3 linked regions of the Ovis aries genome follow. The protein of the gene in region 3 interacts with the protein of the main gene of each other region in a biochemical or structural test. Links are inferred from orthologs where the notes say so. Each region holds a gene or a part of one and is shown on either strand. Other genes may lie near its edges.

Evidence for each region.
Region 1: the proteins of PRKAR2A (region 3) and AKAP11 form a complex in vitro, tested with the Homo sapiens proteins (2 studies listed by BioGRID, with this or other methods). The link is inferred for Ovis aries from reciprocal best matches to the Homo sapiens genes PRKAR2A and AKAP11.
Region 2: the proteins of PRKAR2A (region 3) and AKAP1 form a complex in vitro, tested with the Homo sapiens proteins (2 studies listed by BioGRID, with this or other methods). The link is inferred for Ovis aries from reciprocal best matches to the Homo sapiens genes PRKAR2A and AKAP1.

What each region holds. Positions count from the first base shown.
Region 1 is NC_056063.1:12,815,000-12,818,646, forward strand, and holds part of AKAP11 (A-kinase anchor protein 11), read left to right. Parts: coding exon 1-1,269; intron 1,270-1,802; coding exon of another isoform or gene 1,803-1,863; exon of another isoform or gene 1,864-2,752; intron 2,753-3,647. UniProt on the Homo sapiens protein: Binds to type II regulatory subunits of protein kinase A and anchors/targets them.
Region 2 is NC_056064.1:7,655,021-7,658,667, reverse strand, and holds part of AKAP1 (A-kinase anchor protein 1, mitochondrial), read right to left. Parts: intron 2,882-3,647; coding exon 2,755-2,881; intron 2,236-2,754; coding exon 2,108-2,235; intron 597-2,107; coding exon 419-596; intron 1-418.
Region 3 is NC_056072.1:51,132,742-51,136,488, reverse strand, and holds the start of PRKAR2A (cAMP-dependent protein kinase type II-alpha regulatory subunit), read right to left. Parts: upstream 2,338-3,747; 5' UTR 2,046-2,337; coding exon 1,793-2,045; intron 1-1,792. UniProt on the Homo sapiens protein: Regulatory subunit of the cAMP-dependent protein kinases involved in cAMP signaling in cells. Type II regulatory chains mediate membrane association by binding to anchoring proteins, including the MAP2 kinase.

The sequences.
Region 1 (3,647 bases), on a different chromosome or scaffold from region 3:
TTTCAGGAGGAAGAGGAACAGTTGTGTTGATGGTGACCAAGATTATAGATCAGAAGAGAAGTCGGATGTAGAGGCTGTAGCACACCCGGGAGGAGTAGATCCGTTTGTTCTTCCTTTACCACCAAGTTCTTGTCTGTCAGGTCTAACGTACAAGTATCCCAGCTGTGAAAGTGTGACAGATGAGTATGCAGGTCACATTATCCAAATACTAAAACAGGAAGGTGGTAATAGTGACTTAATAATGGACCAGTACGCCAACAGACTTGCCTATCGGTCTGTTAAGTCAGGATTGCAAGAAGCAGCTAAAACAGCCAAAGTGAAGTGCAGCTCCAAAATATTCCCTGTGCAGAGCTCACAGATGAAAACCAACGATGAACTGTTACTGTTTTTAAATAAAGAACACCAGCAAGAAGCAGATAAAAAAAGACAAAGCAGAAGTGGTGGAAGTTACCTTCATAAAAACCAGACTTGTGAGTGGACACGGGACATGTGCAGAAATGAGTGCTCAGAACTACATAGTTTTTCAACCTGTCTTGCTCACAGCATCACAAGAGATGTTACAAAAGAGCTGATGGCATCAACAGGTGGCTTGCCAAAATCGTTAACAGATTCTTGCCTTTATGAAAAAAACGCATGTGACGAAGATACTGAGACTCATGTCGGGCCAGAGTTTCCCAAGTCTCTTCAGCCTTCTTCACAGAATCACAGATTTTCTCAGAGTACAGGCAGCTTGAGTGGGTGTGGCTATGGAGAGACTGTCGTTCAAGCTATAGAGCAGTATGCTAACAAAGTCGTGGGCGACACTTTAGAGGTGGGTTTAGGATCTGCCGTCTTCCACGTGTCTGAAGCCACAAAAGCAGTTGATAGGATCACTTACGCAGAAAAGCTGTCGCATCTGGTGGGTCAGGCTTGCCGATACTGTGACCGTAAAGAGCTCCATGACTGCACTGGAAATTCGTCTCCTTGCTTTCCCAGACCGGATTCACTTGCTGGTAGTAAGCCAGTTTCTCATTCACAGCTTAGCAGCTTCTATCAGAAATCTAGGATTTTTCATCTTGATGTCCCTCAAATTCACGTTAATCTCGATAAGAAGGCAGTGCTTGCTGAGAAGATAGTTGCTGAAGCGATTGAAAAGGCAGAGAGAGAGCTGAGTAGTACCAGCCAGGCAGCCGACAGTGGGATCGGACAGGAAGGCGCCAGCTTTGCCGAAAGCCTCAGCACAGAGATACTGGCGTCAGCAGTGGTCAGTGCTGGACAGGCCGTCAGCAGGTAAGCTTCTGATTTCTTTTGGGTTTTGCAGTAAAGAGTTAACTTGATTATTTATGTCTTAGAAAGATGTTCAGAAAGATGTGATTCTTTTTAATCCTAAATGAACAAAAAGAAATACTCCCTATTACATTTGCATATCGTTGCTATCCTACCTGTTACTTTTCGTAGACACTGTCTCATTATCCCCCAGCAGCCCTTTGGGGGAAGGAAGGTATGAGCCATTTCCTCAATTGGAAGGTGAGGCTTAGAGTAGATAGTCACCTTGCCCAAGTTTACACAGCTGTAGAGTAGGTAAGGTTGAATCAAGGAAACAGCTGGAGAAGTTCATACAGCAAATACTGAGTATCACCATATTAATGTACCACTCTGAGATGATGTTTTTATTTCTGTTCACAAAGGTAAGTTTTCTTACAAAGAGCATAATTGAACGTGCCAGGCATCTCTGTCCATGGGATGTCCCAGGCAAGAATACTGAAGTGGGTTGCCATTTCCTTCTCCAGAGGGTCTTACCCACCTAGGGTTCTGTGTTGCAGGTGGATTCTTGACCAGTTGAGCCACCAAGGAAGCCCCGTGAAGAAAGCAAGCATTCTCTAACTAGTTCCCTCCTGCCACCACTCCTCTGGATAAACCGCCGTCTAAGGGACAGCTCTCTGTGATAGTCCTACAGTGTTCTGTGTTTTAGAGGCTGTGCCTTGTGCTCAGTGGTCCTAACAGCTTAGTTCAGATGTTCACTTTTAGCCTTCTCTCTCCCTGGGAAAACATCAGGACTGATTGGTGTTATTAGTTTGTAGGATTATTTTTGTGAGTCTCATGGAAAGAGAAAATTTCTTGAGTTGAGGAGGAATTTCATTGAGCCACATGGTAACCCAGGATATTTTAGTATCTTTTGTCAGTGCTGTGACATGCACTGCCTCTTTTCTTGGCCATCTTAAGATAGGGATATGCAGGGAGCTAGTGCTGGGGGTGGTGTGCAGTTTTGAAGAGGTAGCAGGAAGCAACTCTGACAAAGTGACATTGGAGCAGTGAGCCAAAGGTGAAGAGACAATAGCTAAGTGGAAATCAGGGAAATGGAGTTCCCAGCCAAGGTTAGTGGGACTGCGTATTGGGGAAACAGCAGAGAGGCTTGTGTGGCTAAGGTGGGTGAGCCAGGGAGAGCAGGAGCCCGGTGGAGGTCATGAGAGGTCATCATACCAGATGCATGTTAAAAGGGTTTGGACTCTTATTCTGATTTGATGAGAAGCCACTGGAAGGTTTCGATCAGAAGACTAATACTTCCCCTCTTCATGTTTGAAAATATGGGGCAAGATTGGGGTATAGGGTTAAGAGGCACAAACTACTATGTGTAAAATAAGCAACAAGGGTAAGTTTTATAGCATTGGGAAATAAATATAAGCCATTATTTTTTAATAACTTTAAATGGAATATAATCCTTAAACATACTTACTGTGTTGTACACCTGAAACTAATAAAATAATGTAAATCAGTTCAGTTCAGTTGCTCAGTCGTGTCCAACTCATGAATCGCAGCACGCCAGGCCTCCCTGTCCATCACCAACTCCTGGAGTTCACTCAAACTCACGTCCATCGAATTGGTGATGCCATCCAGCCATCTCATCCTCTGTCGTCCCCTTCTCCTCCTGCCCCCAACCCCTCCCAGCATCAGAGTCTTTTCCAGTGAGTCAACTCTTCACGTGAGGTGGCCAAAGTACTGGAGTTTCAACTTTAGCATCATTCCTTCCAAAGATCACCCAGGACTGGTCTCCTTGAGGATGGACTGGTTGGATCTCCTTGCAGTCCAAGGGACTCTCAAGAGTCTTCTCCAACACCACAGTTCAAAAGCATCAATTCTTCGGCACTCAGCTTTCTTCACAGTCCAACTCTCACAGCCATTACATCACTACTGGAAAAACCATAGCCTTGACTAGACGGACCTTTGTTGGCAAAGTAATATCTCTGCTTTTGAATATGCTGTCTAGGTTGGTCATAACTTTCCTTCCAAGGAGTAAGCGTCTTTTAATTTCATGGCTGCAATTACCATCTGCAGTGATTTTGGAGCCCCCCAAAATAAAGTCTGACACTGTTTCCACTGTTTCCCCATCTATTTGCCATGAAGTGATGGGACCAGATGCCATGATCTTTGTTTTCTGAATGTTGAGCTTTAAGCCGACTTTTTCACTCTCCTCTTTCACTTTCATCAAGAGGCTTTTTAGTTCTTCACTTTCTGCCATAAGGGTGGTGTCATCTGCATATCTGTAAATCAACTGTACTTCAACAAAAAGTTAAAACATCACTTTAAACTGTGAGTCAAGAATAAAATGTAGAAGGGGCATACACAGTAATTGAACAGAAAATGGAATTTCTTGTGAAGATAGAATAAAA
Region 2 (3,647 bases), on a different chromosome or scaffold from region 3:
GGAAATGCCCCAATCCACCGTCACCAGACTCTGGGACCATCTATGAGAGCGGCGTCCGCAGCAGGCACTGTGCCTGTCTGACACACCCAGTGGCCACCCCGATTCCCAGACCCCATGGGCGTCCACCTCCCTCAACAGGCGAGCAGCAGAGCTGAGACCAGAACCCTCATGCCAACTCTATTCTGACCCCTTCTCTCCATCAGCCTGTGGAAACACCAGCTTGAGCTAGCCAGGAAATGGAGCCCAGCGCACCCCAGGCTGACACCAAGAACTCAGGGATGCTATTCCCAGGAAGAGCCCCAGAACAGCCTCCTGCTGGTTAAAACCACGGGCAGAACAAGAGGAGAACCCCCTAAACTTCTCCCCGAGCCTGGGCAGAGTGCAGGCGCCCCACTCCGGCCCCGAGGGCAGCGCTTACTCTCCACCGGGGTGGGCAAGGTGGGGATGCCAGGCTGAGAGTAGCAGAGATACATCTGCTGGTCCAGGCTACGCAGCGCGTGGAAGGTGGGGTGAGTGTGCTGCTGCACAAACAGGTGCCCGGCGTTGACCTGGTTGACCACGATGACCTCCACAGTGACGCCGTCCGGAAGCATGAGCTGCAGAGAGGGCAGGGGCGTGTGCACTCAGCAGCCCTTCTCACGCCTGGGATAGACTCTGAGGCCCCAGGGCAAGACTCCAAATTGGCACATCTTTGGAAAAGGCAGAGCAAACCAAAGCAACACGGCTCCTAGACAACAGAGGTGCAAGGAAAGCTCTCTTACGCCGTTCTAAGTGTTTGGCTCCCCTGCGGCCCTGGCCCTGCAACACCCCACGTAACCACGAGAGGTGGCCTCAGTTCAGCTGGGCAGGGAGGCCCCCAGGCGTCCACGGTGGATGGAGCGTCTGGCCGCCCACAGGCCTGGGCACAGCTTCTACCCAGTCCCCCTCTTCTCCAGACCCTGCAAGGCCCAGGGAAGGCAAACAGGAATGGGGTGGCCACTGAGAACAAGAGTAAGAGATGGTTAAGCCTGAGGGCCGCTCTGCCAGCTCCCTGGAATGGCAGCTGACCCCAGGAGTGCCAGCGTGACCGTCGGTCTCTCTCCAAGCTAAGGCAACACCTAGGTGCTGTGGACACAGAAGGGGATCCATGCCACCTCCCAGCCAGGCGGCCACAGAAAGAGCTTCGGGTGAGAGCTCCGCGCTGACCCCCCGGCCCTGCGGGCCAACAGTCATGGCTCCAGCCACTCAGAGCCCAAGGAGAGGAGGCCTCACCAACCGCTCAACTACTTGAAAAAGAGCGGGTTTGGGGCCAAGCCTCACAGGAAACCCCGATGATTCAGAAGTGAAGCGTGGAGTGGGGGTCAGCCTACTCCCGGATACTCACAAGAAAGGAAGGGACACCCACCCCCTCCCCCAAAGCACAAGGGTACTGGGAGGGAGAAAGACACAGGATGAAAAGGCCAGCATCTTAAACGTTTTCTTGGAGTGCACACCCACCCTACGTGTGAAGTGCAGTGTTCTCAGCCTTCAGAAACCTACAGTTCTGCTCCCAGTGAGACGAGGCTCCCAGGGCTGGAGGCGCACAGCAGGATGGGGTGACAGGCCCCAGAGGCCCCACAGCCCCAGCACACAGGCCCCAGAACGCCAGCCCCTCTGCGAGGGCTCCCGGGAGTGCAGGGGGAGCGGGGCTTCTTTCCCTTTATGGCCCAGGTGCCCCCCATGAGGATGCAAGGGGAAGGGCCTCCTTCACCAGGGCCACCGCCGGACCCGACTCCACCGGAGGGGTCCCTGAACCAGGGCTCAGGGTTACCAGGACAAGGCACAGCTCAAAGGCGTCCCGAGCCAGCCTGCACATGGCCAGTCAGGAGGGAGCAGTCCTTTCCAGGCAACTGCCTAGAGAACAGACTGCCCAGGCGGCAGAGGCGGGGAGAACGGTCCTTCCAAGCAGGGACCGAGAAGCCTCTGGCTTCCTACAGCAGCCTGGCCCCCAGCCCAACCCAGAAAACTAAAAGCAGAGCTGACCGCTGGCCAGAGGTGAAAGGGCAGGCCGCAGTGTGCCCTGGCCTTCCTTGCCCACGGCCTCGGGGGCTTCCACCTAGGGCCGGCCGGGAGGAAGGGGCATGCTCACCCAGGAAGTCATTGGAAGAGAAGGCAGTGCCAGCGAAGGCAGCGGGGGAGCGTAGATGTTGGTGAGGTTCAGTTCTTTGAACTTCTTGCCAATCAAGTTCAGCGCCTTGTCCACATGATGCTGAGAGCCTGAATGTGGGGCCAGACCACAGTCACAGGGCTCAGACAGAGAGCAAAACTGAACTCAGGCCCACCCCGAACCGCACCAGACTTTTCCCAGAGTTCAGGTGCACCTTTAAGGTGCCAAAATGCCAAGCCTCGCCTTAGGATGAAACACATCTAAAGCTGGAAGCCTGTCGCCCTTTCACATTTGGCCTCTATTGTTTATGACTGCACTAATGCAACAGGAGCTTAGCCGACGGGGAGGGCTGGCCTTTGTCCACCATCAGCCCAGGACCCCTGGCCAGTCCCCGAGTGCCCACCCCTTTCCCGCCAGAAGATCTGGGGGATCCCAAGTCTCCTTCCAATACCGGAAGTGATGAGGCTAACGGGAAGACTCGCCCACTCCCTTCACCTGGGGTGAGAAGCAGGGTTTTCTATTCAGAGACTTAGATTTCAAAAGGGAGCAAGTGGGACTCAAATGCTTCAAGTCACTTACGTTCCAGGTAAGAAAACTGTCATAAAACCCAGGCAGCGGCTGCCACTGACCTTCGATGTGGCAGACCTGGATGTTCTGGGTGTAAGGCAGGGTGGAGATGTAGATCTTGGCACCAGATGTCTGCTTGAGAAAGCTCACGTAGCGCCCCTGCTTGCCAATCAGCCGACCAACCAGGTGCTTCGGGAGAGAGACAGAGGTGAGAGGGTTAACAAGCAGCCACACTCGAGCATCCCCGAGACCCGTCCTCTGCTTCACACCAGCTCAGGCTCACACGTATTCTCGGCACTCACTCACCAGGCACTGTTCTGAGTGCAAAACAAACAGCATCTGTTTATCCCCATTTCACAGTTGATGGAACAAACCCAGAGAGGTTAAGTTAATTTGGCCAGGCTCACACAGCTACTGGCTTCCCTGATAGCTCAGCTGGTAAAGAATCTGCCTGCAGAGTGGGAGCCCTGGGTTCAATCCCTGGATGGGAAGATCCCCCAGAGAAGGGAAAGGCTACCCACTCCAGTATTCTGGCCTGGAGAATCCCATGGACTGTATAATCCATGGAGATACAGTCCATGGGGTCGCATAGACTCGGACTCAACTGAGCGCCTTTCCCTTGCACACAGCTACTAAGCAGCTGCACCAGGCAACAGGCAGTTTCCATTTCCTCCCCAGCAATGGGGCTCACACTCAGAGGCTGCAAAGGCAGCATTTTCGCCTCCTAGACACTGGGATGTTTCTAAGCACAAGGCTGGATTTTTGAGTCCTCTACCTCTCCAAGTCTGCTCAGGTCCAAAGAATGGCCTCAGTTCGAAAACAAAGGTCTAAAACCCCTGGGCTCCTGCTGGCAACTCCAGAGCACATGCACCCCGCGGGCCAGAGGAGCCACACTCAGCCCAGTATAAGCAAACCCCGAAGCAATCCCCAGGGACCCCACCCGGTGGAGCTGCTA
Region 3 (3,747 bases):
AAAAGTCAAACCGTTTTCCACAGCAGCCAGGACATTTTACATCCCCACCTGCAGTAAGCAAGAGTTCCAATTTCACTACATCCTCACCAACACTTGCTCTTCTGTTTTTTTTTTTTTTTCCATAATAGCCAACCACATGGTTATGAAGTGGTATCTCACTGTGTGCAGTGTATTTTTAGTCTATTATCTGTAAACAGAAGTTCACCTTGTGTTGACTGCTATAATTATACTTAGCACAGCCACTGAAGAGATATAAACAAAAAAATTAAATACCAGTAAAATAAAGCACAGGGTTACAAAGATTTGAGTCAATTCAACTTTGAAAAATATATAAAAAATGACCAAAAAATGAAGACATGACACAAAACTTGGAAATTCTGTTTTACTCACCTGTGACTAATAACTAAAATAATAACATTTGGGGTAAATATTGTTGCAAAGCAAGTTACAACTTTGTGATTTATTGTTATGACAGTGAAACAAATGCAGAAGTCACTTCTGAAATAAACCTTTTAAAAACACATTTATTCCTGGGAGATTGTGGTCACTAACCCTATTTTAAAGATAAGCAAATTTGAAATCAGACAAGTTCCATGGCTTATCTTAGACCACAAAGCAATTCTGTGGCAGGGGTTGGTTTGTGAAATAAGTTCTGATTTCCAGGTTTAAGGTGAAAAACCCATAATTTAATGTGTATTAAAGCCAGGGTAACATGGCCGAACAATTTCCATTCTTAGCGTGAATAAACTAAGTTGTCCACGGCACTGAACCTTACAACCTGCAATAGCAATGACCAATAATTAACTCCCTGCCAGCCTAACTTACATGCGGATTCAACTCAAAACTAGGTTGTTGGGGGTTTTCTCAGTGCGAGCTAGTAAACACTAAGTCTCTAACTTTGTCTCTCAAGTGTTTTCATTGTTTTGTTAAATTCTGGCTGTTCAAAACTAGGGTAATTCTATCGTTAAACTGACAAAGTCTGTGTTGAAGCCATCAAGGAAAATGGAATTCCTCTTTGACAATCTTGCTTAAATCAGATATAGAGGTGTTACTAGTCGTCTTTCCTGCACCACATATGAGAAAAAAATGTATTGTTGACCCTCACCACATTTGATCCAGTGATTTTAGGCAAATTAAATATATCTTTATACATATATCTTTATACATATACTGAAGTATCCAAGACTGAAAGAACGTGAAATGCTGGGACTTGCTTTAAAATACTTCAGCAAAGGAGAAAAAATATATATAGAGAGATGAAACATTTGTGACAGATATTTCAACTGTGTAACGTGGGTGACGGTATACAGGGAGTTCAGGTCACCTTTTCTATTTCTGTCTACGCTTAAAGTTTGCACGATAACTTTTCACAAAATGAGTTCTTTCCCAAGTTACCGTCCTGGTTAGGAAACTCGAGTCGGTGTAGGCGAACGTTCTTGTCTTCGCAACGAAACCGGGCGAAGCTTCTCCAGCCGAGGCGGCCGTGGGCTCCACGCCCCTCCGGCCCTGCGCCAGCACGCGGGCCGAAAGCGCGCACGTTTCCCTCGAGCTGAATCTGACAACTCGCTCGCTGCTTTCCGGGGCTGGCAGGATCGCCGAGCTCAATTTGGAAGTGGCTCACGCCGGCGGCTTGGGGAACCTGGACGAACTCCCCTCGCGGGCTCCAAGGTCCCGGCCCAGGGTGGCGGGCCTGGCCCCTCGCAGCCCCTCTCTGGATCTCGAGAGACCCTCGCCCCCCGGCACCGCTTCCTCGGTCCCCGTACCGCGAACCCCTGCCCAGCCCGCCGCCTACCGTCCAACTCCTCTTCGTCCTCCGACTCGCTGTCCGCCACCGCGTCGGCGACCAGGCCAGCGCCGGGATCGAAATCCTGGGAGCCGGAAGGAGGGGCGGCGGGCGGGGTGGAGGCTCTGGAGCGGGCCTCGCGCAGGCGGGTGAAATAGTCCACCGCGAAGTCGACGAGGTCTGGTGGCCGCTGCCGCAGCACCTCCACGGTGTAGCCCTGCAGCAGCTCCGTGAGCCCGGGCGGGATCTGAATGTGGCTCATGCCGGCGGCGGCAGGCGGGACCGGGCCGCCGGCGGCCACCGCCTAGGCGGGCGCTCCCTCACGCCGGCCTCTCGCCCGGCGCCCCGCGAGGTCTCCTCACGCGCGACCCGGGTCGGGCCTTCCTCGCGCCACGCCGCCCTTTGGCAGGGTGTGTGTCTCCGGGCCCCACCACCCTACGCTACTCCGGCCGGCCTGGCGCCGCCGCCGCTGTCACTGGGCAGCCGCCGCCGCCGCCGCCGCCGCCGCCGCCGCCGCCGCCGCCGCCGCCGCGGGCACCGACGAGCGGGCGAGCTGGACGGGCGGGGCGGGAGCCCGGGTTGTGACGCACGCGGCCGCGAGCGTGCGCGCTCCCGCCGAGCGCCGGCCCTCAGTGCGCTTGCGCCAAGGGGCCGTCTGCTCGCCCGGCTACCCTGGTGATCTTCAGTCCAGGCGCAAGGATGAGAGGTCTACCCGCTAAGCGGAGTGTTAGTGCCTCTTATCTTTCATTTCTTCTTTCAGCAAACGCTAAGCTCCAACCATCTGCCCGCGCTTACTGGGTACCAGGGACATAGCTGAGAGCCACAGGCAAGAATGCCACCTTACCATCTCGGTGTGCTTCCAGATATGGTGGAGAACAAGGGGACCCTCTTTAGGGGGTGACATTCAAGCTGACTCCGAGACCTGGGCAGGATCTAACCACAGGAAGAGCCAGAGGAAAGCCATGTGGACATAGAGGACAACAAGAGTGAAGACCAGGGAAAGTCACAACCACCCTGACCGTTGGGTGGCATGGTGGAATGACCATAGGACCCTCTAAAGTCTGGCAGGAGGTCTTTGAGATGTCAAAGAAAGAAGGCCTTGTAGACAGTAGGAGTTTCGATGGTATAATAATTTGGGAGCCACAGGCAGATAAATCTGGAAAAATGAGTTAGAAAATATGTTCCTTGAGAAAAAGGAATAAAGCCTAGGGCAGGAAGGACTACTGTGCCTGTTTCTCTGCTTGAGGGTTCCCATCAGGCTTCCCAGGACTAGGTCTGCACACCTATTCTCTCCCCATACTCTGCCCTGGACCCTGGGCCCTGGGCCAGCATTGCTTGATGGTGTTTCAGCAGATGGCAAGACACTGTTATCCTTTGTCCCTAGGAAGGGGCCTAAGCAATCTGGAGAGGCCATGCTATTTCCCAAGCTGCACTTTCACCTACAGCAGATTGCAAAGGAAGAGAAAAAAGTGGAAACCTTCCCAGTGTGTTCATAACACAGCCCAGGTGCTGACCAAAGTCCCAGTAAGCATGGGACAGCATCCTGTCTCTCTGCTGGGCCAAGTCAGAAAGTGACTAGATATAGCCTTGGGAATCTGAAAGGCATTTGGGATGGTTAAGCTCTGCCTGGTAATTATCCAGTATTAATTAAATCCTCACTAGGACCTCTCATTTTGTCTTGGCACACATCCAGGAGCTCAGTGCTGCTGGGAACTGAGCATCTAGAAGCAGGAATACCTGATCCCCACTGGTGCAGAAGCCACCCAGCCCCCAGGCCAGGCAAGTCTGTGATTCCAAAGAGCAGTGTCTCCCTGGACAAGTTTCTTGACTCCTGGGAGAAGTTCTGAACCATCAACTTTGTTAGGGGAAGAGTAGTGTCCAGCTCATTCCCTGCTGGGGTCCTTATTGCAGTCTTGCTAAAGATTTACTAAATAAATGAATAATAAATTTTCACACAGCAAGAA